Linked DNA regions of Anolis sagrei. The protein of the gene in region 1 interacts with the protein of each later gene in a pairwise test. Links are inferred from orthologs where the notes say so. Each region holds a gene or a part of one and is shown in the gene's direction. Other genes may lie near its edges.

Region 1 (7,451 bases):
ACCAGAAAACTACAACTCCCATGATTCCATAGCATTGAGCCATGGCAGTTGAAGTTTCCTGCTCCTTGGTTTTGGGTTGGACTGGATGGCCTACGAAATCTCTTCCAATTCTATGATTCTAATAGGGCCGCATCACACTAGAGAAAAAATCCACATATAATCCGGTTTCTGCCTGCTGCAAAATTCTGGGCTTTGTAGTTTAGGGAAGGGCCTTTAACAGCCTCACTAAACTACAAACCCCGGAATTCTGCAGGAGGCAGAAACTGGATTTAAAGTGGATTTTTTTCTCAAGTGTGATGTGATGTTAAACTGCATTAATTGCACAGTGTAGGTGCATCCATAGTCTCCTTTTCCTATTGCCACGCATTATGTCCTGTCTAAGAATTCATATCTTCTCGTGCTATCCCCCAAAGCATAACTGTCTTCATGGCTTCTAGGGAGTGTTCAGGTTTGATCAACTCTAGGTTCTTTTGTTTTTGTTTTTGGCAGTTATTGATATCTGCAGAACTCTCCTCTTTCATTCACCATTATTTCAAGTGATATTACTATCTTCACAATCGTACATAGAAACATGTAATACAATGATGTGGACAATCCTGAGTTTGATATTCAGTTATATATCTTTACATTTGAGGCACCAAAATAGAAACTGTGTTTGGCCCATCCTGCTTGGGCACTCTATTTTGAATGGATTTGGTAACAGGACAGTATTTATTTATTTACAGTATTTATATCCCACTCTTCTCACCCTGAAGGGAACTTAGAGCAGCTTACAGAACACACACATGGCAAGCATTAAATGCTGATTATACAACTAACAAGGGCAGACAACACAACAGAGGAAAAGGCAGTTTTTCCCCATCTTATTTCCAGCAACCTGGAGGGTGTGCTCGACTCTGGCCATGGAGGGTGCTGTCACTCCATCTTCCATGCCGAGGAGCTACCTCCCAATGATGTCTTTAAGGGGTTTTTATTATGTCCCCACTAAAAACGGTACCTATTTATCTACTCGCATTTCTGCTTTCAATCTGCTAGGTGGGCAGGTGAGCTGGGGCTGACGGTGGGTGCTCAACCCTGCCCCGGGATCAAACTGCTGACCTTTTGATCAGCGGGATGTTTCCGCAGCACAGTGGTTTTGTCTGCTGTGCTAAGCCCAGTTTGTCTTCTGTCTCAGTTGGCAAAATGTCTTGGGCAGTTCAGTCTATCAATAACAGCTTAATTTGATTTATTTATTATTATTTATTTCCAATATTTCTATTGCACTTTTCTCAACCTCCGAGGGGGGACTCTGGGTGGCTTACAAACCGGCCACAATTCGAAGCCTCAGTACAATACAAATATAAGCACAAATAGCAACAGTTTAAAATAGTAAATAAAACATTAAGATAAAACATGTTAAAAACATTGTAATCAACCATATAGCCAAGTTCAGTCCGGTTCAACATCCAAGGTGCTGTCATGCTTGCTTTCTAAAGGCCTGGTCTCAGAGCCATGACTTAACCTTCTTCCTAAAAAGAAAGGAGGGAAGAAGCCAACCTGATCTTGCTGGGGAGCGAGTTCCACAGGCATAGGGCCACCGCCGAGAAGGCCTTGTCCCTTTGCAAGGCTGGCGGGACCGAGAGCAGGGCCTCCCCGGATGATCTTAAGCTATGAGGCGGGATGTAAAGGGAGATACATTCGGACAAGTAAGCTGGGCCAGAACCGTATAGGGCTTTATAGGCCAAGACCAGCACTCTGAATTGTGCTCGGAAGTGGACAGGCAGCCAGTGAAGCTGGCACAACAGTGGAGTGGTGTGCTCCCTGGATTTATATCTTTGGTATTTTCTCACCTTATACATCTTTGACTGTGATTAGATAACCCTTACATTAGTACAGGCAGGAAATAAAAATTTAGAGAAACGTATCTGAGGACTGTTTTTTCACTTCTCAGAATTAGGAATAAATATCCTGAACAAGAAATGGAAATTGCCACTTATGTACGTTACACAGTATGGTGATTCAGTCCTTTGCTATGAATTGTATTTTGAAAGACGTGGGGTGGAGCCTCCTGTAAAGTCATCCAGGGGCAATAGCCTGCTTGTAGAGAGGATTAAGCATTCTTTGTGGGCGTGTGGCCAGTTTAACCCATGAAATCGTTCTCAGTGAAACTGTCCTGGTTTATCTGAAACAGGAAAGTCCTGTTGTGACACCTAAATGTGTGTTAATTGGCTCACCTAGATTAGATCTACACTGCCCTATATCCAAAGATCTGACCCCAAGCCCCTTCTGCACTGCTGTATAAAATCCAGATTATCTGCTTTGAACTGGATCATCTTTGAATTGGACTCATATAATCCAGTTCAAAACAGATATTGTGGGATTTTCTGCCTTGATATTCTGGGTTACATAGCTGTGTGGAAGGGCCCCTAGACTCAAGGGTGTTTTAAATATATTAACAAACCTTTTTTTCTGTTGGTGGTAATAAAACTAGTGTGTGTCTTACAATTATCAGTGTCTTAGAATGCGAAAAATGCTGGTATGATCTTTTATTTCTCAGCTGAGGACAACCGGAAAAGATTTGTTCAGGCTCAGCACATTTTATTTTTGAGAAAAGCTAACTAAAGCTAATATGTCGCTGAACATGATCCAGATGGTCAGTGAATCACTGGTTATACATTTTCATTAAGCTGCTTGTAGATCTGAAGTCTCGTGTCTTACTATCGGTTTAAGAATGAAACAATAAAGTTGTACAGGTTAAGTATCCCTTATCTGGTGTTGCTATAAGAAAGTCTTATAGCAGGGGTCCTCAAACTGTTGGGAGGCCGAATTATAATTTGGGAAAAAAACATGAATGAATTCTTATGCACACTGCATATATCTTATTTGTAGTGCAAAAAACACTTTAAAACAATACAATAAAATGAAGAACAATTTTAACAAATATAAACTTATTAGTATTTCAATGGGAAGGAGCCCCCGGTGGCGCAGTGGGTTAAGCCCCTGTGCCGGCAGGATTAAAGACCGACAGGTCGCAGGTTCGAATCTAGGGAGAGGCGGATGAGCTCCCTCTATCAGCTCCAGCTCCCTTGTGGGGATATGAGAGAAGCCTTCCACAAGAATGATAAAAACATCAAATCATCCAGGGGTCCCCTGGGCAACGTCCTTGCAGACGGCCAATTCTCTCACACCAGAAGCGACTTGCTCCTGACACGACAAAAAAAAAATTGGCTGATGAGATAGGATTGTTGTTGTTGTTGTGTGCTTTCAAGTCATTTCAGACTTAGGTTGACTCTGAGCGAGGGCTGGGTAATTGACCTTGGAGGGATGTATCTGGCCCCCGGGCCTTAGTTTGAAGACTCCTGTCTTATAGCAAAACCAGAGGCACTCCAAGTGGCCAGTTACTGGTCAAAGGACATTTAATATAATGCCAAGCTTTTAAACATTGTGTTTTCTCAAATACATCACAACTATACCCTTGGTTTGCCCCTGATACGATAAATAATAAAATCTTGTATCTGACATATCAATACAGGCATTCCAATTCCAAATTAAAATAAAACAAAATTCAAAACATGTATCATCCAAAGCATTTAGAGTGACTTATATAGAATGGCAAATTCAAATGTCTTTGGAATTATTATTAGCCACAGGAGTATTATAGACCCTAAGGGCCTTTCCACACAGCCATATAACCCCGAATATCAAGGCAGAAAATCCCGCAATACCTGCTTCAATCTGAATCCATACTGCCATATATCCAGGTTCAAAGCAGAAAATGTGGGATTTTATTCAGCTGTGTGGAAGGGGACAAAGAATACTTTTTAAAACTCTTTTTATTAAACAGTAAAACAGTGTTACATTAAGTCACATTTGTATTTTGAATTATAGTATTAATCAAGTCCAGACATGAGTTTGTAGCATGGAGTATAGTATTAGGGCCCTTCCACACAGCCCTATATCCTAGAATATCAAGGTAGGATATCCCACATTATCTGGGTGTGGACTCAGATAACCCAGTTCAAAGCAGATATTGTGGGGTTTTCTGCCTTGATATTCTGGGTTATAGGGCTGTGTGGAAGGGCCCAGGGCCCTTCCACACAGCCCTATAACCCAGAATATCAAGGCAGAAAACCCCACAATATCTGCTTTGAACTGGGTTATTTGAGTCCACACTGCCCTATATTCCAGTTCAAAGCAGAGAATGTGGGATTTGGTCCAGTTGTGTGGAAGAGCCCTGTATCACTTCTTCAGTGTAGTTGAAGGCAAAGGGCTTCCCCAGGAGGGGGCAACCTCACCCTAGGCGCCGCCTTGCCTTCCGCCTCCCGCCCGAGTGAGTCATTTCCTAGAAGGATGACGTCAGGGGCGGTGCGCGAGAAGAGAGGGGAGGCTGCCTGGCGCTGATTGGACAGGGTGGCGAGTGGGCGGGGCCGCAGCAGCCTATATATTCGGCGGCCCTCCTCACGTTCCCAGCACAGAGACTTCCGGATTCGGTCGCTTTGTTTTCCTTCCTAAGCCCACGTTACGGGATGCTGTCCGCCTGACTACCCGTGTCTCGCCGCCGCTGCGCCCAGGACGCGAATGAAGAAACTGCTCCTCCTGCTCTTCAACTATCGGGGACTCAATCGAGGCGGGGGACGCAAAGGGAAACGCCGTCGGAAATGGACTCGTTCGTTATCCGCGCCGCGCGGCCTGAGGACTGCGCCGACATCCTGCGCCTCATAAAGGTATCTGGCCTTCTCGCCTGGCCCGGAAGGGAGCGGAAGGCCTACACCAGTGTAGGTCAGCGGTTCGTAACCTGAGAATTCCCAGGTGTTTTGGCCTACAACTCCCAGAAATCCCAGCCTGCTTACCAGCTGTTAGGATTTCTGGGAGTTGAAGGCCAAAACATCTGGGGACCCACAGGTGGAGAACCACTGATGTAGACAGACAGACAGGAACTAATCAATAAAGACAGATGTAATAATAATAATAATAAACCTTTATTTATACCCCGTTCATATCTCCCGAAGGACTCGGTGCGGCTTACAAGAGGCCGGGGCCCAATACATAAATAAAACAACAGCATAACAAATACAACAATAATTAAAACTCATAAAACAAGCAATAAACATTAAAACAATGAGAATAAACATTAGACAAGAATCCACCCAACATAATAAAGTTAAACCCCAAGTATACCCATTTAGCCTCTTTTTTATTTTTGATACATACATATATATATATATATATATATATATATATATATATGGGGCATTGGTAAACTTTGGCCCTCCAGGTGTTTTGGACTTCAACTCCCACAATTCCTAACAGCCAGCAGGCTGTTAGGAATTGTGGGAGTTGAAGTCCAAAACACCTGGAGGGCCAAAGTTTACCCGTTCCTGATATATACACAGAAAAAGGGGTGCTTGCTTTTTGGTGACTACAAGACCTGAAACTTGTCACGAAGACTTACAAAAACCCAAATCCCATCCATTCTCAGCTATGATGATACAGGTTTTTTTTTTCTAAATATGTGGCCAGAAAGTAAAGTCAAAGTTTGAGCTGGAGTCCAAGGTTATCTCCTCCCAATCATGAGTGCTGACATGGCTGATTTGCCTTTTCCCCCCCTTTAATCTGCTAACTCCAGATGCCTTGTGACCCACATCTAAGGAAACTGCTTTTGAAAAACAACAAAAAGGGAAGGGCTTTGTTCTCCTTTTACTTCCCTCACCTCAATAGTTGCTTTAAGGAAGTATTGGTATCAGCTAGAGAGGGTGGTTCTCTTCCTCATTCTTCATTTGAATGTCTAGTTGCTTGGAAGTGAGCCCCATTAGACCCAGAGAAACTTGGACCCCATCTATACTTGCATTTAATGCCGTTCCAAACTGGTATTGGAAGCGCAGATGGCTGAATAGAAAATGCTGGAACCAGTTTGAGGCCTGGATGGGTGATTACACAAATCACAGAGTGTTAAAGAGTATTAAGGACTTTCTTTAGCATACTTTTTTCTTATCTCCTTTTTCTCTCTTTTTTTGGTGTGTCCATGACTTTTATTAGGGGCCCCTGGTGTTGTAGCGGGTTAAACCATTGAGCTGCTCAACGAAAGGTTGGTGGTTCGAATTTGGGGAGTGGGATGAGCTCCTGCTATTAACCCCAGCTTTTTCCAGACTAGCATTTCGAAAACATGCAAAAGTGAGAAGTGGTATCAATAGATACCACTTCTACAGGAAGCTCCATGCAGTCATGCTGGCCGCATGACCTTGGAGATGTCCACGGACAATGCCGGCTCCAAAATGGAGATGAGCACAACCCTGCAGAGTCAAACACGACTAGACTTAATGTCAGGGGAAACTTTTACCTTTAATATAGCTTTTTTTAATATTAAAAAATAAAAACAATATTATTCGCACTCACAAGGAAAGTAAAGGTGGGGTTAGAGGTGGTGGAGCTCTGGTTCGTAGATTAGAATTCTATAATTATCTGCTATATCACTGAAGAAAAGGAACAGGATTGATGGGGGAAAGAGTTTGTTATAGTTATTGCATCTATATCTTCCACACAAGTGCTATTTGCACACATTTGTGGGAGTTCTATACCAGGCTGGCTGCTTTACAGTGAACTTTGAACTGCATCAAATGGTCTGTGTAGATGGCATCAGTGATATCACTTACAGGTCAATGTTTCTGTAAGCTCTGGAGTCACATAACCCATCTGCTGGTAAAGTAGGCCCTTGATCTCTCCTGTAATGGTGTTCCTTGAATAAAATGGCTAGATCAAGCTATCCTTTTTGGATTCTTTTTTAAAAATACATTTTCAATCTGTGGGTGATTGAATCTGTGGATATGGAAGGCCAGCTGTACTGAAAATGCCTTGCTTGCAGAATGCTGAGTGCAAAGGTACACGTGTACAAATGGAGAACTGTTTGTTCCATAAACAGCTTTTCTTGTTGGGCCCAGATACTTTGGCCTCCTCTGCGTTGACAAAATAACCCCTCCCTGCTCTTGTGAAAGAGGCTGTACTGCCTCCACCCTCTTTGCAAAGCTAAACGTCATGGAAAATTAGTCAACAGTTCCTGTCGAGTCAACAGTTCGTGTCCTTGAACTGTGTTGAACGACAAGATGGCCTACTTGTAAAAGATTAGATCTCACCTTTGGCAGACTTCTTCTAAATATGGCTCAAACAGATTCAGGATCAGGGGAGATAGACTTTCATACAGGGAACATTTCATAATGTGAACTTGAGTCTAGGTTTGTTTAACTTAATTCGTTGGGTGATTTTTTCCCCCCTTCACATTACAAGCAGCTCAAGTTATTGGAAAAATAATAATTTTATTTCATATCCTCTTCTCAGCACTGCTCAAGATGGGTCACAGCATAGTTAAAAACAAACAAATACTATAAAGATTCTACAAACACACATTAAAATTCAGTTCCATAGAAGACACAGATCAAAGCATTTCTGTAAAATACACATTAATCACACAGAACAGAGAC
Region 2 (7,196 bases), on another chromosome or scaffold:
AACATCAAATCATCTGGGCATCCCCTGGGCAGCGTCCTTGCAGATGGCCAATTCTCTCACACCAGAAGCGACTTGCAGTTTCTCAAGTCGCTCCTGACACAACAAAACAAAACAAAAAAAAAAACCCCACAACACGAGGAACTGCATTAACTGGTCACGGCATTAGGAAGGTTGAGAAAGGTTGAGAAATCTCTGGATGTAGCTACTAGGGAAGCAATAAATATTTTAAGATACATCATAAGACAAACCTCTAATTCCAGGATTTCTATTATGCTTATGTATATTGTCATGGGAGTTCTGTGTGCCGTGTTTGGTTCAATTCGTTGGTGGAGTTCAGAATGCTCTTTGTTTGTAGGTGAGCTATAAATCCCAAAAACTACAACTCCCAAATGACAAAACCAATCCCCCCCCCCCAACCCCACCAGTATTCCAATTTGGGTGTATTGGGTATTTGTGCCAAATTTGGTCCAGTGAATGAAAATACATAATGCATATCAGACACTGGTGGAGTTTGGGGGAAACAGACCTTGACATTTGGGAGTTGTAGTTGCTGGGATTTATAGTTCACCTACAATCAAAGACCATTCTGAGCCCTTCCAAGGATATCGGATATTTACATTACGATTTATAACAGTAGCAAAATTACAGTTATGAAGTAGCAATGAAAATAATTTTATGGTTGTGGGTCACTACAACATGAGGAACTGTATTGCGGGGTTGCGGCATTAGGAAAGTTGAAAAACATTGATCTACAAAGCGGATCTGAGCTTCCTGCTTTGGTCAATCAAACAATGTGTCAAAAGAGTTAAGACTTCAAAACCCCTGCTAAAATTAATTGGTTAGTCTCACAAGCTGCCTCAAGACTTTCTGCCTTTTCCTTTCAGATAAACAGAGAATACCATATAGCATTGAGCAATGACAGTTCAAGAGCTGTCAAATTAAAGTGGTCTTTAATTCTGTTCATATTTTGACAGCTTGTCAAGCTGTCAGATCTCTTCTGGAAAATTATTCCATAGTCTATACTAGGTATGTGCAAACTTGGACCCTCCAGGTGTTTTGGACTTCAACTCCCACAATTCCTAACAGCCTACCGGCTGTTAGGAATTGTGGGAGTTGAAGTCCAAAACACCTGGAGGGCCCAAGTTTGCCCATACCTGGTGTAGATGCATCTTTAGTGTCTTTCCTAAATCTGGCCCACAAGTCTCCCATGGATCTTCCCTAAAATGAAGGGCAGAGATCCTGGGATCACTTGGGATCAACCCAGGCAGCCCCCCAGCCCTGATCTTACCTTCCTTTCCTCATCTGCCCCTTGGATTTCACTCCCTGCCTCTCTTTTCCCACAGTCCACTTCCTGAAGCAGGCAGATCCTGTTCTGCAACTGTTTCCAACGGCAGGTATCTGGAGGAGGCGGGCTTAAGCCCTCCAGAGGGCGAAGGCGATAAGCTGGTAGGGCTGTCACTCTGAAAGGCACAAGGGGACGAGTTTCCGTTGCCATCGCTCTGCCCTCCTCCCCGCATGTTATTACACTTTACGCATGCGCAGTTGGCTCACAAGTAGGAATAACTATTTTAAGATGCATCATTAGAGAAATCTCCAGTTCCAGCATTCCTATTGTAGGGGCAATGATAGACCTATGTTTCTAGGTATAAACGGGAAGAGAAAGTACTTATGCAAAAAGAAATATATATTTTAATCTATTAATTAATTATTAAACTATATAAATAAAAAATGTAATGTTTGTAATGATTAACAGAACTCAAAAACCAATGGGCCAATTGACATCAAATTTGGACAGCATACACCTAACAACCCAAATGTATGTCCTTCACTCAAAATCTTTTGATTTTGTCATTTGGGAGTTGTAGTTGCTGGGATTTATAGTTCACCTACAATCAAAGAGCATTCTGAATTCCACCAACGATGGAACTGAACCAAACTTGGCACACAGTTCTCCCATGACCAACAGAAAAAACTGGAAGGGTTTGGTGGGCAGTGCCCTTTGGTTTTGGAGTTGTAGTACACCCACATACAAAAATGACTGTGGACTCTAACAATGATGGATCTGGACCAAACTCTACAAGAATATTCAATATGCCCAAATGTGAACACTGGTGGAGTTTGGGGAAAATAGAATGTTGACATTTGGGAGTTGTAGTTGCTGAGATTTATAGTTCACCTACAATCAAAGAACATTCTGAATCCCACCAACGATGGAACTGAACCAAACTTGGCACACTTCTCCCATGACCAACAGAAAATACTGGAAGGATTTGGTGGGCAGTGCCCTTTGGTTTTGTAGTTCACCCACATCCAAAGATGACTGTGGACTCGAACAATGATGGATCTGGACCAAATTTGGCACGAATATTCCATATGCCCAAATATGCACACAAACAGAGTTTGGGGGAAATAGAGCTTCACATTTGGAAGTTGTAGTTACTGGGATTTATAGTTCACCTACAATCAAAGAGCATTCTGAATCCCACAAACGACAGGAATTGGGGCCAACTTCCCACACAAAACCCCCATGACCAACAGAAAATACTTAAGACCATCCAGTCTAGCACCCTTCACCAGGGCAAGAAAATGTAACCGGAGCCCTCCTGACAAAGAGCCATCCAGCCATAGACATAGATAGATAGATAGATAGATATGATTCACACACACACACAGATATAGTTTCATAGATTTAAAAGGGACCCCCTAAAGAAGGACTATGATATGTTGCATATTCCAGAGTAGGCAAACCAGACACTCTCCACATCATCACTGACAAGGAAACAATAAGAAATACTGTTTACCCACAAGCATAAAGAAATGACATATATTATAAACCAACACTTTCTCATTATTTTATTTTCCAGATCACCTGACTGGGCCACAGCAACGCGTGGCAGGGGATGGCTAGTTATCTATATAAATAAAAATTTAATGTTAATTTGTGGGATTAACATAACTCAAAAACGACTGGGCGAATTGACACCAAATTTGGACACAATACATCTATCAGACCAACAAGTGACCATCACTCATAAAACACTAAAAAAACACAGTAGAAGAGACTTTAAAAGCCAAAAACAAAAAAACAACATGACAATTCATGTGCAAAACCACATATATACACATATATACATACACAAAACACATATACACAGACTGGGCCACAGCAACACGTGGCAGGCATTGGCTAGTCATCTAATATATCTCTATTTTTTTTAAAAAACAGTAAGATAAATTATTTGTAGACAAATAGGGCAAAGTCCATCTATTTTGAATTAGTGAGTTTTCCAGGCTGTGTGGCTATGTTTCAGAAGCATTAACTCCTGACTTTTCACCCACATCTATAACAGGCATCCTCAGAGGTTGTGAGGTCTGTTGGAAACTAGGCAAGTGGGGTTTGTGGAATGTCCAGGGTGAAAGAAAGGACTCTTGTCTGCTTAAGGCAAGTGTGAATGTTGCAATTGTCCACCTTGATTAGCATTAAATGGCCTTGCAGTTTCAAAGCCTGGCTGGTTGCTGCCTGGGGATCCTTTGTTGGGAGGTATTAGCTGGCCCTGATTTATTCTTGTCTGGAATTCCCCTGTTTTTTGAGCGTTGCTCTGTTTACTGTCCTGATTCTAGAGGTTTTTTTAAAATACTGGTAGCCAGATTTTATTCATTTTCATGGTTTTCTTCTCTGTTGAAATTGTCCATATGCTTATGGATTTTAGTGGCTTCTCTGTGTAGTCTGGTGGTTGTTAGAGCGCTCCAGCAGTTCTGTATTCTCAAATAATATGCTGTGCCCAGGTTGGTTCTATTCTTTTATATTTTAAAGCTTCAGACTCATGTCCAGTTTCAGCATTCCTTTCCTATATCTCCAATTTTAGTATTTTTAATATAATAATATTATATTTATCTCCCCAAAGGGGACTCAAAGCAACTTGCCATAAAAGCATTAGTATACAATTTAAAATATACACATACACAAACTTTGAAACAGAATCAAACACAAATAGCACTAAAAAAATCACAGTTAAAATCCATCAAAACATATTCAAAGTTAAGTTTTATTGGAAGATATTTTAAAAATAATAACGAAATCAATAAAAGTACAAAGAAAAAAGAAATAGAAAATGACATCATGAGAACAGCTTCTGGTATCGCGGGAACTAAAGAGTAAACACTACAAAGCCCCGCCCCCTAATGGGCGGGGCTGCCGGGATGACGTCTGCGGAACTCTAGGACGCATGCGCCGTTGTGTGTAGGTAGGTTCTGGGCACCTCTGTGGAAGTTGGGGGTCTTTTCAATGCATTGCTGCATTTGATGGAAACCTAACCATTCCCAATTGGGACTCACCTCCTAGTGTCAATGTTTTGATCATAACACAGGCCTGAGCATCTACATTGTAGAATTAATGCAGTTTAACACTACTTTATTTGGCATGGCTCAAAGCAATTGAATCCTGGGAGTTGTAGTTTTACAAGGAATTTAAACCTTCCCTGCCAAAGAGTGCTGCTGCCTCAGCCAAATACAACTCCCAGGATTCCATACCATTCCTCTGCCAACCTAGAGGTTTTCATTGGTCGTCTCCCATCCAACTTTTAACCAAGGTGGACCCTGCTTAGCTTCCAAGATCAGATGGGATCTGAGGCTTTTAGTCTACTTACGTAGGTACAGGTTTCCCCTTGAAATTAAGTTCAGTTGTATCTGAATCTGGGGGTTGGTGCACATCTTAATTTCAAAGCCAAAGAGCCAGCGTTGTCCGTAGATGCCTTCAAGGTCATGTGGCCAGCATGACTGCATGGATCGCTGTTACCTTCCTGCTAGAGCAGTACCTATTGATCTACTCACATTTGCATGTTTTTGAACTGCTAGGTTGGCAGAAGCTGGGGCTAACAGTGGGAGCTCACTCCACTCCCTGGATTTGAACTGCGGTTTAACTCATTGTGCTACCTGGGGCTCCTTTAGTCTACTTAGGCCCTATGTAGATGATTAAAAAAATTAGAAATGTGTATAAATAGATTATATTGTATGTTGTATATTGTCTTTCTAGAGCAGTGGTTCTCAACCTGGGGGTCGGGACCCCTAGGGGGGTCGCGAAGAGGTGTCAGAGGGGTCACCAAAGAACATCAGAAAATACAGTATTTTCGGTTGGTCATGGGGGTTCAGCATGGGAAGTTTGGTCCAATTCTATCATTGGTGTGGTTCAGAATGCTCTTTGATTGTAATTGAACTATAAATCCCAGCAACTACAACTCCCAATTGTCAATGTCTATTTTCCCGAAATGCCACCAGTGTTCACACTTGGGCATATTGAGTATCCGTGCCAAGTTTGGTCCAGATCCATCATTGTTTGAGTCCCCAGTGCTCTCTGGATGTAGGTGAACTACAATGCCAAAACTCAAGGTCAATGCCCATCATACCCTTCCAGTATTTTCTGTTGATCATGCGAGTTCTGTGTGCCAAGTTTGGTTCAATTCCATCATTGGTGAAGTTCAGAATGCTCTTCGATTGTAGGCAAACTATAAATGAAAACAACTACAACTCCCAAATGATATAATCAATCCCGTACCCAATCCGAGTAGTATTCAAATTTGGGTGTTTTGGGTATTTGTGCCAAATTTGGTCCAGTGAATGAAAATATATCCTGCATATTGGATCCTGCATTACAGTTCATAACAGTAGCAAAATTACTGTTATGAAGCAGCAATGAAAATAATGTTATGGTTGAGGGTCACCTCAACATGAGAAAGTGTCACGGCATTAGGAAGGTTGAGAAATACTGATCTAGAGATTTAACAGTAGACATTTCCTTCATGTTTTATTTCAATGTTAGCCCCAAGGAGGCTCCTCTTTGTCCCTCCTAGGCCATGTCGGTGGGCCTCTCTTTCACACGGGCGAATGTCTTATTCCGGCAACATCTTTTTACCTTCCTGGAGCACCCCAGTCGGCCCATCCACGCCTCCTGGGCTGCGTTTGCTGGACACAACAAATGGTCCAAGGTCAAGAATGTGAAAGGCCCAAAAGATCTGGCTCGGGCCCGCGTTTTCCAGAAGCTCACCATGATGATCCGACTGGCAGTCAAAGGTACAGTGGCAGCATTGGGATGGTGTCAAACTGTATTGCTTCTATACCAGGCACGGGCAAACTTGGGCCCTCCAGGTGTTTTGGACTTCAACTCCCACAATTCCTAATAGCCTACTGTTAGGTAGCATTTCTCAACCTGGGGTCAGGACGCCTGGGGGATTGCGAGGGGGGTTTCAGAGAGGTTACTGAAGACCATCAGAAAACACGGTATTTTCTGTTGGTCATAGGGGTTGTGTGTGGGAAGTCTGGCCCAATTCTATTGTTGGTGGGGTTCAGAATGCTCTTTGATTGTAACTACAGCAACTACAACTTCCAAATGTCAAGGTCTGTTTTCCCCAAAGTCTACCAGTGTTCACATTTAGGCATATTGAGTATTTGTGCCAAGTTTGGACCAGATCCATCAGTGTTTGAGTCCACAGTGCTCTATGGATGTAGGTGAACTACAACTCCAAAACTCAAGGTCAATGCCCTCCAAACCCTTCCATTATTTTCTGTTGGTCATGGGAGTTCTGTGTGCCAAGCTTGGTTCAATTCCATTGTTGGCGGTGTTCAGAATTCTTTTTGATTGTAGATTAACTATAAATCCCAGCGACTACAACTCCCAAATGACAAAATCAATACCTCAACCCCACCAGTACTCAGATTTGGGCGTATCAGGTATTTGTGCCAAATTTGGTCCAGCGAATGAAAATACATCCTGCATATCAGATATTTACATGACTATTAATAACACTAGCAAAATTACAGTTATGAAGTAGCAATAGAAATAATTTTATGGTTGGGGGTCACCATAACATGAGGAACTGTATTAAGGGATTGCGGCGTTATGAAGGTTGAGAACCACTGCTGTGAGGAATTATGGGAATTGAAGTCCAAAACATCTGGAGGACCCAAGTTTGCCTGTGCCTGTCCTATACTGTAGAGATGCACTATCATAGAATCATTGAATTGAAATAGAACCCAAGGACCCTCTGCCATGCAGGAACACACAACCAAAGCCATCCAAACAGTTGGCCATCCAGCCTCTGCTTAAAAAAACTCCAGAGAAGGAGGCTCTACCACACTCCCAGACATCCTGAGTCAATATGTGTGATTGTTAGTCACCTTCAGTGTGGAGAAAGGTCACATAG
Region 3 (6,856 bases), on another chromosome or scaffold:
GTGCATCTACAATGCACCTGCAGATAGATTCTATAGTAGAATGGATGCAATTTGACACCACTTTAACTCCAATGTCTCAATGCTATGGATTCTTAGTAGTAGTAGCTTGGTGAGATGCTAAAAACCTGTGTTTGAAAAAGTTTAGCCTAGTTTAATTTTGGCCCCTCCCTACTACAGTGCTGTGCATGTCTGTTGTAGGCAGTTACCTTCAGATGATGCATGTAAGGTGCAGAATCTAGAAGGCTTGGGTCTCACTCAGTGCTGGATTTAGGACAAATGAGGCCATGTGCTAGTTCAGTTAGGAGGGTCCTTCCTTGGGTCCTGAAGGAGGTTGGCCCAGCAGGCCTCCACTGACTGCTTCGTGTCACACTCCCATAGACTATCAACTCTATCATTATGCCTGGAATGGCTCAGAAACTGTCAATATTTGTTTTAGCAGAAAGGGGTCCCTGTACTTCTACACCACTAAACACAATGGCAAATCTGGGACTGGTCCCACCACGTGGATCCAAAATAGGTCTTCACGGCCACTTATGAACCCACTGTTTTGTCTCTACTCTTGGACGACAGTCATACCTGGAAAGGAGTGATCACCCATGAAGATATGCAAGTGTTCGGGGGGGGGGGGGGGGAGCCCTGGAACATGAAACACTTTTGGTCACAAGCATTTCAGACAAAAGAGGCACAGTGTTGCTGGGAGTTTTCCAGGCTGTATGGCCATGTTCCAGAAGCATTTTCTCCTGATGTTTTGTCCACATCTATGGCAGGCATCCTCAGAGGTTGAAGACTCTATTGGAAACTAGGCAAGTGAGGTATATATATCTGTGGAATGATGTCCAGGGTGGGAGAAAGGACTCTTGTCCGCTTGAGGCAGATGTGAATGTCTAAAATCAGGACAGTTAATAAAGAACAACACTAAAAAAGCAGGGGAATTCCATGCAAAAATCAATCAAGGCCACCTAACACCTCCCAACAAAGGATTTCCCTAGGCAGCAACTAGACAGTCTTTGAAGCTACAAGGTCATTAAAATGCTAATCAAGGTGGCCAATTGCAACCGTCACAATTTCCTCAAGCAGACAAGAGTTCTTTCTCATCCTGGACATTCCACAGATATATAAACCTCACTTGCCTGGTGCCCCTGGTGGGTTTAACCCTTGTCCTGGCAGGACTGCTGACCAATAGGTCACTGGTTTGAATCCAGGGAGAGCAGGCTGAGCCCCCTCTGCAGATGGCCAATTCTCTCACACCTGAAGTGACTTGCAGTTTCTCAAGTGGCTCCTGACACACACACACAAACCTCTTGCCTAGTTTCCACCAGACCCCTCAACACCAGGACAGAATGCTTCTGGAACATGGCCATACAGCCCAGAGAACTCTCAGAAACCCAGTGATTCTAGCCATGAAAGCCTTGAGGCCTCATCACACTAGACTAGAGAATGAATCCACTTCATGGACTGGGCTGTGGCACAGCTAGTTAGTAGCCAGCTGCATTAAATCATTACTGACCAAGAGGTCATGAGTTTGAAGCCAGCCTAGGGTGAGAAGGGCGGAATATATGGGCCGGAGGTTAAGCACAGCTGGGAAAACATCAGTAATTATAAGATCTATCAACCAAAAGGTTGCAAGTTCGAAGCCCTGGGTTGGTGTGAGCTGCCAACTGTTAGCCTAGCTCATTGTTTACCTAAGCAATTTGAAAACAGCTTTAGCTGTGATTAGAGAAATTAGGTACCGCTAAAAGTGGGGGAGGTGTTTTATGATGCCATAAAGAAATAAGATCAGAAAATGCTGGGCGACCAAAAGAAGGAAGTCCTAATGGCTCTTCGTCATAGAGGATAGAGCAACAGCATCCCCTGGGCTTGAGCTCAACCTCCATGGCACCTCCTTCTGTTCTGTGTATTGTCTATACAAAGTGGCATTGAATGTTTGCCGTGTATGTGTACTGTGATCTGCCCTGAGTCCCCTTTGGGGTGAGAAGGGTGGAATATAAAGGAAGTGTTGTTGTTCATTCGTTTAGTCACTTCCGACTCTTTGTGACCTCATGAACCAGCCCACGCCAGAGCTCCCTGTCAGCCATCACCACCCCCAGCTCTCTCAAGGTCAAGCCAGTCACTTCAAGGATGCCATCTATCCATCTTGCCCTTGGTTGGCCCCTCTTCCTTTTTCCTTCCATTTTCCCCAGCATCACTGTCTTCTCTAAGCTTTCCTTTCTTCTCATGATGTGGCCAAAGTACTTCATCTTTGTCTCTACTATCCGTCCCTCCAATGAGCAGTCAGGCTTTTTTTTCTGAAGTATGGACTGGCTTGATCTTCTCTTGGTCCAAGGCACTCTCAGAATTTTCCTCCAACACCACAGTTCAAAAGCATCTATCTTCCTTCGCTCAGCCTTCCCTATGGTCTAGCTCTCACATCCATAGGTGACTATGGGGAATACCATTGCTTTAACTATGTGGATCTTCATTGTCAGTGAGAAGTCTCTACTCTTCACTATTTTATTGGTCATTGCTCTCCTCCCAAGAAGTAAGCGTCTTCTGATTTTCTGGCCACAGTCTGCATCTGCAGTAATCTTTGCACCTAGAAATACAAAGTTTGTCACTGCCTCCATGTTTTCCCTCTCTATTTCCCACTTGTCAATCATTCTTGTTGCCACAATCTTGGTTTTTTTGATGTTTAGCTGCAAACCGGCTTTTGTGCTTTCTTCTTTCATCTTGATTAGAGGCTCCTCAGCTCCTCCTCGCTTTCGGCCATCAAAGTGGTATCAGCTGCATATCTAAGGTTTGTTTGTTTGTTAACTGTTTTTATCTGAAATATGTGGCCTGCCCATTGTCATCACTACCATGTTTGTGTTTATTGGAATGTTTATTTTATTTTAATGTCATTTTGATAATGTTGTTGTTGTTTGTTTTATATGCTTTGATTTTATTGCTTTATTGATTTTATTGCCCCATGTAAGCCGCTCCGAGTCCCATTGGGGAGATGGTGGCGGGGTAGAAATAAAGTTTTGATTGATTGATTGATTGATAAGGTTGCTAATGTTTTTTCCAGCAATTTTAACCCCAGCCTTGCATTTGTCAAGCCCTGCACATCGCATGACGTATTCTGCATGAAAGGTGAATAGGTTGGGTGAGAGTATACAATCTTGCTGTTCGCCTTTATTATTATTATTATTATTAATAATAATAATAATATAAATACTGTAAATAAGCAATAAATAAATAAATAAATAAATACGGTTGCCGCGTCCTGCAGAACTCTGTGGTTTGTAGTTTAGGAAGGAGCCTTTAACAGCCTCACTAAACTACAACCCGCAGAATTCTGCAGGAGGCAGAAACCGGATTTGAAGTGGATCCATTCTCTAATGCAGGGGTCCTCAAACTAAGGCCCAGGGGCTGGATGTGGCCCTCCAAGGTCTTTTACCCGGCCTTTGTTCAGGGTCAACGACTTGAAAGCACACAACAACAACAACAATCCTATCTCATCAGCCAAAAGTAGGCCTACATTTCCCATTGAAATACTAATAATTTTATATTTGTTGAAATTGTTCTTCATTTTAATTATTGTATTGTTTTAAGTATTTTTTGCACTACAAATAAGATATGTGCAGCGTGCATAGGAATTCATTCATTTTTTTTCCAAATTATAATCCGGCCCTCCAACAGTTTGAGGGACTGTGACCTGGCCCTATGTTTAAACAGTTTGTGGACCCCTGCTCTAGTGTGATGAGAGGACCAGACAAAGGGGGCACAATCTGTACGTGGGGCGGTGCTGGGGTTGGGGAGGAAAAGGGTGGCAGGTGCTGAGGAGGCGGCTGACCGCTAGGGGCCGATGGAGAGCTAGCAAACCTGCGGAATCAATCAGACCGAGCCCCGCCGTTCTGTCCATCAGCGGATGCGTAAACACAACTGCGACTTGGGCAGGCGACTCCTTCTCCCGAGCGAAGGTGTATCGGGGAAAGGGAGGGAGGGAGGGAGAGAGAGAGGGAGAGGGCGACGAGCGGGCGAGAGAGAGAGAGAGAGAGAGAGAGAGAGAGAGAGAGAGAGGCCAGGCGCAACAGAGCGCGCAAAGCAGCGTAGGCGCAGGAGGCGGCACGGGAGCATCCTAAGAAGAGGAGGAGGAGGAGGAGGAGGAAGCAGCAGCAGGAGCAGCGCCTTCAAGGAGCGGCCCCCTCCCTCCGGCTCCCCGAACGGCCCCCTCCCTCCCTCCCTCCCACCCTGACCAAGATTATTCCGAGGAGAAGAGGAGGCACGCGCGGAAACAGAGCGGCAGCCACGACAATAACAACCAAAACAACAGCAACAACAAGTGGACGCGATTGCCTCGGGAGCGAAATCGGGCGAAGCGAGCCACCGCAAGGCAGCGGGGAAGGAGGAGGCAGGAGGGGACGGCCGCAAGGCAGCGCGCGGCGTGGGTCTGCGAGGCGCGTCTCCTCTTTTCCTGCCAGTAGCAACAGCCAGCTTTCCTCGGGGAGAGAGGAGCGGGGAGAGAGGAGGAGGAGGAGGAGGAGGAGGAGGGCGCCTTCCCCAAGGCCTTGGCTGGCAACAACTGCTTGGCAGAGGCGCGCGCGAGGGAGAGAGGCCGGTCCCCGGGCCACGAGCAGCTCCCGCCCATCTCGCCCAGTCCAGTCTGCTTCTGCGGGAGGCGGCGGCGGCGTTGGATGCCTTCTTTCCCTCAGGGATGGCTATGGGGTCAAGCACAGCGGGAAAGGCAAGACGAAGTGAGCTGCGGCGGGAGCGTGCCCGGAATGCCCCCTAGGACCAACCCTGGGGGTGGCCGTGCCCTGGCTTGCCTTCCCTTCCAGCCCGCGGCTCACACACCAAGGAGGCCCAGCCAAGCCGTCGCCCCTCTGCCTCGCTCCCCTCCTTCCTCCTCCTCCTCCTCCTCCTGAGCGCCGCACCTGTGAAAACAGGTTGCTCAGAACAGCCTCCCCTCCCTCTCTCCCCCCCCCCCCCCGCCCGTTCTTCTCTCGCTTTGCAGATCCTCAACGCTGCCTTTTCTCTGCCTACCGCGGTAAGTAGACAGGGATGGTCCTCCCTCGAAGCTTAGGGGCTATTTTAGATCTCGTTTTAAGGAGATTTTGTCTCTGAAGCATGCTTGTTTTTTTAAAGCCTCAATATGGGTAGTTCGCATGTGGGAGGCTCCGTTGCCTGGCTGCTTGATTCCTCATGCAGCACCACCTCTTCGCTCTAATATTGCCTCATGCTGCCCGTTTCTGTGCTTTTTCTCTCTCTCTCCTCCCTGGAGAAATGTGGTCATCCTTCCCAAAGACAGGTCTTGATTTGAGAAAGTGTATGATGAGCCTTCTCTCCCCACAGTGTGCTTACTGTCATCATGTTGATACATGTATTAAGGGCAGCGCTTTGTTCTAAAAGGATTCTGGGTGGCATTTGTCCATGTTTTTCTCTTGATTATATGTACGCATCCATTAATTTAAAGCCACGGTTGATCACTAACCTACAACCGTTTCCTACCAATCCAGGAGAGCCTTTTTAAATCCATTATACAGGCATAGAGAGCACAGTTGGGCTATTCCTGCAAATATCTCACTGTAAACACACACTGCAACAGAGGCAGACCAGATCTCTCTCTAGTGATAAAAAGCACTGTGTGTGAAACAGTGAATGCAGACAGAGAGCACAACAAGCTGTGCACCTCATTATGTTATAGTCATCACATCTATTCTGCATTCATGCTCATGTTGTTGTTCACAAGTAGATCTCTATATATATTATGTAATGCAGAGATACCTGCATTTCACAGTCTAGGTTTGTATTCAAAATCATCTCCCTAGATATTAAAAAACTCTGAGTGAGATGTGGGTGTGTGTATGCTTGCTTATTCTTCTAACTACATCTATATATAGTCAGATGAACATAGACACAGAAAGATTGTGTGTGCCGCATGTGGGTGCACAATGACAGGGAATGATGAGTAGTGCAAGTAGGCAAATCTGAGCCTTTGATGTGAATTACCTTAATCTGGATTATGATCAATCCTTTTCCCCATCCCCATTTTTTTGTTTTCCTGTATGTACCTCAGGTTACACATGACTGCTGCACAGGACTAACCGAAAGGTGCTCCATTCCTTTCTCTCCAATGGGAAACAAAGAACCAGTGTTTCAACCATCTCCTCCTCATCCACCTTCTCTCTCCATAATTGCTGTTCCAGCCAATGCTTTGCCCAGTTTGAAACACTGTTGAGAGACTGACGGATGTGGTTATGCTAAGACCTCCTCACTGTGTAAACAAAATGAAAACTGGAAGCTCCTTCAACTTTCTAAAGAAATTAATCAGCAATCTCATTTCTAAGCTGTTGTGAGAATACTGGCTGTTTTGCACGTGATTATGCGAGAACTCAAGAGCTTTTGTGAGGGGGAAAAACCTGTGCCCCATCTTCATTTGCTTAAGTGCATCGTTTGCATGATGCAAAACATTCAACACCATGAACTCAGAGCTATGGATTTTTCATAAAGCTCTGAAGAAAGACCTAGCCAATGTGTTTTCACAGATAAAAGGACACCATCCAGATATATTGTTTGGCTACTTCAGAAGATTCTGTACTGTACCTGTGAAAATATTCTTGAGGAATCTTTGTGTCAAAATCCTCTGGACCCTACCTAAGAAATGGAACTCTTGCCTCTGAGAAATCTATGGTGTGAAAACTCAAGTCTGCTGCTAGTCTGAGACAACACTTTTTCGAAAACATGGCTTTCCAAACTTTAGTGGTCTTGTCATTCTCATGCAAAGCACCCAGTGATAAAGGCTGAAAAAACAGACATCTTTTTTCCTTCTTAGTCTTCAAAAACAAGCACATACAACATGGAGGTTGCAATGGTAAGCGCAGAGAGCTCTGGGTGCAAT
Region 4 (7,691 bases), on another chromosome or scaffold:
GAGTAGATCAATAGATACCGCTCCGGCGAGAAGATAACGGTGTTCTATGAAGTCATGCCGGTCACACGACCTTGGAGGGGTCTACGGACAACGCGGCTCTTCGTACCTTTACCTTACTTAGAACCATATAATGCACTTCAATGCAATTCAAACTACGTTAGTGTTGTGTAGAACCATACAATGGACTTCAACGCAGCTCAAACTACATTATTGTTGTGTAGAACAATATAATGCACTTCGGTGCAACTTAAATTACATTCTTGTTGTGTAGAACCCAGGCATGTAGCCGGGGGGGGGGGGGGCTCGGGGGGCTTCAGCCCCCCCCCGAAATTTTCATGGTGGTTCGCGAAAAGGCCTTAATGGTGCATTATTTAAACTGTTATGTTTATTCATATCATGATCTGATCACCATACTCAATATATCCCATATGCATGGGGGTATTGGGGTAATGATACAAAAGGTTTGCTAGGCTAGACCCTCTTTCACTCAGACTCAGCCTTCCCCCGAAACTCAGCCCCCCCCCGAAACCCCCCCTGAAAAAAATTCAGCCCCCCCCCCCCGAAACGAAATCCTGGCTACGGGCCTGGTAGAACCATACAATGCACTTCAACTGAGTTCAAACTACCTTATGTGGTTTTACACTGAGCATATAATGCAGTTCAATCTGTACTATATGGCGGGTGTAGAATCAGCCTTATTCATAGGGTCGTCGTAAGTCGATGTCAGTTAGCAATTTATCTCCTTTTGGGGACATAGGTAGGGCTAGAAATAAAGTTTTATTATTGTTGTAGTAGTTATTGCTATTATATTTATTAATTAACAACAACTAATATTATGTAGTTAGAGGAACAACAAATTAAATAGTTTCCCCCCCTTTCATTTAATAGGCGTTTAGCTGGCCTTCGTCTCTTATCATTTCCTTCCCTTTATTTCCTTGACGCTTATCCCACTCATCAAGTTTAAATCTGTGATCTCAAATACCACTTCTACGACTTGTATTTGGAAAGATCGATGCCAAATATACCCCACTTAAGTATCAGCCCTACCAAACCATGCTCTCCTCTCCCCTCTCTCTGTTGGTGTGTATGTGTGTGTATATATATGTGTGTGTGTGTTCATCTCGGTGTTTAGGAATGAGGGGCGACGAGATCTATTTTCTCACATCATTCCTATTTTGGCGGGAAATGCCAGAAGCTGATTGGCAACGTCCGTAAAACCGAAGCAGCCCATTAAAAAACCACGACCAAAAAGAGAAAACAAAGTTTTTCTTTAATTAAAGGGAAAGGTTGGTTTGTTTGTTTTTCCCTATTCGAATAAAGCAATAGTACCGTTTTAGAAGATATCCCTGTTGAAAAATAAACAAAAACTCCTTAAATATAGTTTTCCAAAGGCCATTCTGTATTGTGCTGGAGGCATGAGCGCAGGAGTAATGAGCGCAATCGCTATTCAAATATTTGTACAAGATCACCATTCTTGTGAGAAAGGGGATCAAATGAGAAAGCAGTTTCTACAGAGCCTTATTTTCTCAGAGGAACAGGCATTAAACTCAAATGCACAAGGCTTTCTCCTCTTCTCTAGCACTCAAAAAACACAGTGCGGAATTCACGCGAGACCGGGGAGGAGGACTATTCCACAGCATCCCACTGGAGAGTAATTGGCCTTGGCTGAACAAACCGGGCAGCCTCTCCTCTTGTAAAGGGCCGCGAGCTTTGCAGCAAAGTCGCAACATACCAGAAAGGAAGGGCGCGCTGGGTGGAAACTGCCCCGAGTGGCCTCCTAATCCAGTCCCTAGGCCCCGAGTCCTAGGCGACATGGAGCCAATGGCTTGGCACCCCTTCTCTTCCCCCCTTTCTTGGCGAGCCCGCAGGTGCAGGAGGAGACTGGGACACTTGCAAGACAGCCCGGGAGCAAGACCCGTTGAGGAGGCTTTGTTCTGAAGTACAAATATCGTCAGAAAAGACCTGACACGGGGCAAGCCCCACACGAGGACCATTTCAAGTGTTCTTCAATCAATGGGCTGGGAGAGTTCTGTTTTGGCTGAAGCGCCTGGTAAGAGTGTGGCAGGACTGGCACTGCAGAGTCAACTTCTGTTAGGAGTGTCTATCTATCTAGACAGCCATCCATCCATCCATCCATCTAGCTAACTAGTTAGGCGTGCGTGCATAATGTCTGTCTAGCCATCCATCCATCTATTCACCTATCCATTACTCCAGCCAGATAGCTGCTAGATGGATGGATGGCTAGATAGATATTATGCACACACACCCTTACCTAGCTGGCTAGATGGATCTTATTTATCTTGTCTAAAGCGAATTGAGAATACAGTTATAGATGGATGGATGGACTGACAGATATTATACACGTACACCTAACCGGATGGGTGGATAGATAGATAGATAGATAGATAGATAGATAGATAGATAGATAGATAGATAGATAGATAGATAGATAGATAGATAGATATTATGTACACAAACACACCTAACTGGATGGATACATGGTGGATAGGTAGGTAGATAGGTAGGTAAATAGATATTATGTACATAAGCACACTTACCTAACTGGATGAATAGATGGTAGATAGATATTATGGACACATAAACACACACACACACTTACCTAAATGAATGAATAGATAGGTGGTAGATAGATAGATATTATGCACACACACACACACACACGCACACACACACTTATCTAACTAGGTGGATGGATAGATGGTAGGTAGGTAGGTCGATAGATAGATAGACAGATATTACACACACACACACTTACCTAACTGGATGGATAGATGGTAGGTATGTAGATAGCTAGATATTATGCATACACAAACACACACACACACACACACACACACACTTACCTAACTGAATGAATGGATGGTAGCGAGTTATTATGCACACACACACACACACACACTTACTTAACTGGATGGATAGATGGTAGGTAGGTAGGTAGGTAGATAGATATTATGCGCGCACACACACACACACACACACACACTTACCTAACTGGATGGATAGATGGTAGCTAGATATGCACACGCAAGCGCACACACTTATCTAACTGGGTGGATGGATAGATGGTTGGTAGGTAGGTAGGTAGGTAGATATTACGCATACACAAACACACACACACTTACCTAACTGAATGAATAGATGGTAGGGAGATATTATGCACACACACACACACTTACCTAACTGGATGGATAGATGGTAGGTAGGTAGGTAGATATTATACACATACACACACACTTACCCAACTGGATGGATGGATAGATGGTAGGTAGGTAGATATTATGCATATACAAACACACACACACACACTCTTAACGGAATGAATAGATGGTAGCTAGATATTATACACACACACACACACACTTACCTAACTGGAATGATAGATGGTAGCTAGATATTAGGTGTGCATGCACACAAATACTTACCTAACTGAATGGATAGATGGTAGGTAGGTAGGTAGGTAGGTAGGTAGGTAGGTAGCTATCGCGCACACACTCTTACCTAATTGGATGGATGGTAGATAGATACATAGATATTATGCACACACACACTTACCTAACTGGATGGGTGGATAGATGATAGATAGATGGATATATATATGCACACATACACACCTAACTCGATGGATAGATGGTAGGTAGGTATATAGATATTATGCACACACGCACACACTTACCTAACTGGATGGTGGATAGATAGATGGATAGATATATTATGCACGCATACTGGATGGATGGATACAGGCATGTAGCGGGGGGGGGGGGCTCGGGGGGCTTCAGCCCCCCCCCCCCCCCGAAATTCTCATGGTGGTTCGCGAAAAGGCCTTACTGGTGCATTATTTAAACCGTTATGTTTATTCATATCATGATCTGATCACCCTACTCAATATATCCCATATGCATGGGGGTATTGGGGTAATGATACAAAAGGTTTGCTAGGGTAGACCCTCTTTCACTCAGACTCAGCCCCCCCCCCCGAAACTCAGCCCCCCCAACCCCCCCCTGAAAAAAATTCAGCCCCCCCCCCCCCCGAAACGAAATCCTAGCTACGGGCCTGGATGGATAGATATACATTATGCAGACACACCTAGCTAGGTGGATACATAGATGGCTAGATAGATAGGTAGGTAAGTCACAGGTATATATGTGTACATATATACATACAGCACTCGTTGGATAGAAAGATAGAGTACCAAGTCCTGTAGTCCTTTGGGCAAAGAGTCGAACCAAGAAACCACTTTGCCTACAGGCGCTGCAGGAGGAAATTCTAACTCTGCAGAAGGGGTACCCACACCCTCCCCCCCACCTTGACATAATGGCTTCTCCTCCCCTTCGCATTTTTAAGCTGGGGGCGCAATGGGCAAGTCCATCTGCTTGGTGGAAGGAGGGGGCGAGTTGGGGCAGGGCAATCGCCTCCCCCCACCCTCGCTGTGATCTCTCTCTCTCTCCTCTCTCCCCCCCCCCCCCCCCATTTCTACAGAGCGAGAAAGGGCGGGAGAGTCTTGGGGGCGAGCGGAGCAGAGAGGGAGAAGAGGAGGAGGAGGAGCATCGGAGGGGAGAGGCGGGGAAGGCGTCCGGGCAGGCCAGTCGTGGCTGAGGCGCCTGCGGGGGCGTCCCTGGCGGCGTGGGCTCCCTTTTCCCTCCTCCTCCTCCACCTCTCGGGCTGCGGCCATGAACGGCTACGGCTCTCCCTACCTGTACATGGGGGCCCCGGTCTCTCAGCCCTCGCGGGCGCCTTTGCAGCGGACCCCCAAGTGCGCGCGCTGCCGCAACCACGGCGTGCTCTCCTGGCTCAAGGGCCACAAGCGCTACTGCCGCTTCAAGGACTGCACCTGCGAGAAGTGCATCCTCATCATCGAGCGGCAGCGCGTCATGGCCGCCCAGGTGGCCCTCCGCAGGCAGCAGGCCAACGAGAGCCTCGAGAGCCTCCTCCCGGAGTCCCTGCGGGCCATGCCCCCGGGGGGCCCCGCATCCGCGGCCTCCGTATCCGCGGCCTCCCCCACCCCGCCGCCGCCGCCCCCCGCAGCAGCAGGAGCTCTCCTGGTCCTCCCCGCAGAGGGACACCCCACCCGCACCCCCGCCAACGTCGAGATGGCCCTGCGATGGGCCTCCGAGCAGAGCCCCAACGCCGCCAATGCTGCCAACGCCGCAGCCCTACAGCCCCAGATGCCCAAAACAGGTAAGGAAAGGGAGCGAGGGGGTGGTTCTTTGAATTCCCATTGAATTCCCCCCTTGGAAGGAAAGAGAGTCTCCTGCTGTAAGGAAGGGGAGATAGAGCAGGAAGATCTAGTCCAGGCATGGGCCAACTTCGACCCTCCGGATGTTTTGGACTTCAACTCCCACCATTCCTTGGTGGGAAAGGGCTTGAGGCTGTTAGGGATGGTGGGAGTTGAAGTCCAAAACACCTAGAAAGAGGGCCCAAGTTTGCTCAGACCTGATCTAGTCCCCCCTCCCTCCCCAGATGTGGCAGGTTTAGGGTCAAGTAGATTCTCATCTCTTTATCAGTTTAGACAGAAGCGTTTCTTCAACTGAAGTCCTCGAACTGGCGAAAGCCGTTTAAGCGACAGTGCTCATAAGCATGTGTAGTGAGTTCCCTCGTTCGAGGGACTTGGAAACAGCTCCTCCTGGCTCTTTGCAGCTTCCAAGCAACCGAAGAAGGAAGGGACAACTGTTGCTACTTGTCCCACTGAATTCTCCTCGGAAATGATGGGACTCTTTAGCTGTAAGGAAGGAATATATAGCCTGGATCTGCACTGCCATATACAGTATATTTTTATTTCGTGTCAGGAGCGACTTGGGAAACTGCAAGTCACTTCTGGTGTGAGAGAATTGGCCGTCTGCAAGGAAGTTGTCCAGGGGACGCCTGGATGTTTTGATGTGTTACCATCCTTGTGGGAAGCTTCTCTCATGTCCCCGCATGAGGAGCTGGAGCTGACAGAGGGAGCTCATCCACGCTCTCCCTGGATTCGAGCCTGCGAGCTGTCGGTCTTTAGTCCTGCCGACACAAAGGTTTAACCTACTGCGCCACCGGGGGCTCCATCTGCTATCCGATAGGTCAGCGGTTCAAATCCGGGAAGATCGGGTTGAGCTTCCTCTGTCAGCTCTAGCTCCCCATGCATCAAAACATCCTAGCGGACTTGCAGTTTCTCAAGTCGCTCCTGACACAAAACAAAAGTTCAAACTGCACTATACTGCAATACTTACTTACTTACTTACTTAGGCGAGTCCTCCTTGGCCGAGTAGGATAGTCTTCCAGGATCAGTATTCTTGTGGATCCGTAGGTGACTGTGGAGTCCTATTCTTGACCTGCATCTTCTCCCGCAGTGAGGGCATTGGTTTTGGTCAGGGTTAGCTTGAGGCACCTTCCTCTTCGCACGTTTCTCTCTTTCACCCTCCATTCGTGCCTCTTCAAATTCTGCAGCACTGCTGGTCACAACTGACCTCTAGCTGGAGCGCTCAAGGGCCAGGGCTTCCCAGTTCTCAGTGTCTATGCCAGAATTTTTAAGCCTCTACGTTCATCAGATGGAACCAAACTCCTGAAGGACCAAAATTAAATTGCACTAAGTTGAAAAGAACACTACCAAAGCCTCCTGAACCCCAGCTCCAATGTGGCCGAAGAGGTTCTCTCACAAATCCCTCAACAACAAACCAGGGATGAGCTTGCAGCACTGCCTAGTTTGGAAGAAGTCAGCAATGTCATCTGCCAACAAAAAATAACAAAGCCAGCGGACCTGATGGGATCCCTGCTGAAATCTTTAAAGAGGGAGGACCTGAGCTGACACAACAACTCCACCAGCTCATATACGCAATATAGATGGGGTCATGGGGGTGTCTATTTCCCCTCAGATGTAGCAGCTATGTGTTTGTGTATAGGGGCGGGGGGGGGGCAAGTGTAGAACCCCCTTGTTCAGAGACTTAGGCCCTATCTACACTGACCATTTTATGCCATTTCGAACCAGTATGGAACCAGTGTGCAAAGAAGTAAAGTGGCTTTTTTGCACAGATGATTAGATAGAACATTCTGAAACCAGCTTGAGGCCTGGAGGGGGGTGACACAAAGAGCTGATGCGTACGAGGGGCTTTCTTTTGCATCTGCCCGCCACGGCCATTGGAAATTAGCATCGAATTGCATTAAATGGTCAGTGCAGATGGGGCCTTACAGTCAGCTTCTCGGCGGCGCCTGAAGAAACGACAACTGTTGCGCCTGTAGCTTGGGAGCCAGTTCCACTTCATCCTCCATATAAACTGACCCCTGAGTGACTCTGTCCAGCTGTCAGGAAAAAAGATGTAGAAAAAGGATGAGGATCCGGCCTCTGAATGTTGGCCGAATCTGCTTAGCCTCCATTTTTGGATAGGCCGGATGAGGATCCGGATTGTCCCATGAGGTCAGGAGGATCCACGGGGAACTTACTGAACACAGGAAACTGGTTTGCCCTTCAATAGGAAAGAAATAGGAAAGAAATAGGAAAGAAACCCTTTCAAAGGCTTCCCCCTTGACACACTAGAGAATGAATCCACTTTAAAGCTGTCTCCTGAGGTTTGTAGTTTAGTGAGGCTGTTCAAGGCTCCTCCCTAAACTACAAACCCCAGAATTCTGCAACCGGATTTAAAGTGGATTCATTCTCCAGTGTGGTGAGGTTAGACGTCGTGTTGGACTCAAGGAGGCGGTGCTCA

The links.
Region 2: the proteins of SAT1 (region 1) and TACO1 interact in binary tests that used the Homo sapiens proteins (3 or more experiments, as listed by UniProt). The two-hybrid records come from large-scale screens. The link is inferred for Anolis sagrei from reciprocal best matches to the Homo sapiens genes SAT1 and TACO1.
Region 3: the proteins of SAT1 (region 1) and KCNA4 interact in binary tests that used the Homo sapiens proteins (3 or more experiments, as listed by UniProt). The link is inferred for Anolis sagrei from reciprocal best matches to the Homo sapiens genes SAT1 and KCNA4.
Region 4: the proteins of SAT1 (region 1) and DMRT3 interact in binary tests that used the Homo sapiens proteins (3 or more experiments, as listed by UniProt). The two-hybrid records come from large-scale screens. The link is inferred for Anolis sagrei from reciprocal best matches to the Homo sapiens genes SAT1 and DMRT3.

Annotation. Positions count from the first base shown.
Region 1 is NC_090023.1:86,790,843-86,798,293, reverse strand, and holds the start of SAT1 (diamine acetyltransferase 1), read left to right. Parts: upstream 1-4,450; 5' UTR 4,451-4,637; coding exon 4,638-4,703; intron 4,704-7,451. UniProt on the Homo sapiens protein: Enzyme which catalyzes the acetylation of polyamines. Substrate specificity: norspermidine = spermidine >> spermine > N(1)-acetylspermine. This highly regulated enzyme allows a fine attenuation of the intracellular concentration of polyamines.
Region 2 is NC_090026.1:17,631,950-17,639,145, forward strand, and holds the start of TACO1 (translational activator of cytochrome c oxidase 1), read left to right. Parts: upstream 1-4,176; 5' UTR 4,177-4,244; intron 4,245-4,250; exon of another isoform or gene 4,251-4,646; intron 4,647-5,815; 5' UTR 5,816-5,849; coding exon 5,850-6,066; intron 6,067-7,196. UniProt on the Homo sapiens protein: Acts as a translational activator of mitochondrially-encoded cytochrome c oxidase 1.
Region 3 is NC_090021.1:259,342,361-259,349,216, forward strand, and holds the start of KCNA4 (potassium voltage-gated channel subfamily A member 4), read left to right. Parts: upstream 1-3,847; 5' UTR 3,848-5,005; intron 5,006-6,034; 5' UTR 6,035-6,814; coding exon 6,815-6,856. UniProt on the Homo sapiens protein: Voltage-gated potassium channel that mediates transmembrane potassium transport in excitable membranes. Forms tetrameric potassium-selective channels through which potassium ions pass in accordance with their electrochemical gradient.
Region 4 is NC_090022.1:221,028,440-221,036,130, reverse strand, and holds the start of DMRT3 (doublesex- and mab-3-related transcription factor 3), read left to right. Parts: upstream 1-4,688; coding exon 4,689-5,196; intron 5,197-7,691. UniProt on the Homo sapiens protein: Probable transcription factor that plays a role in configuring the spinal circuits controlling stride in vertebrates.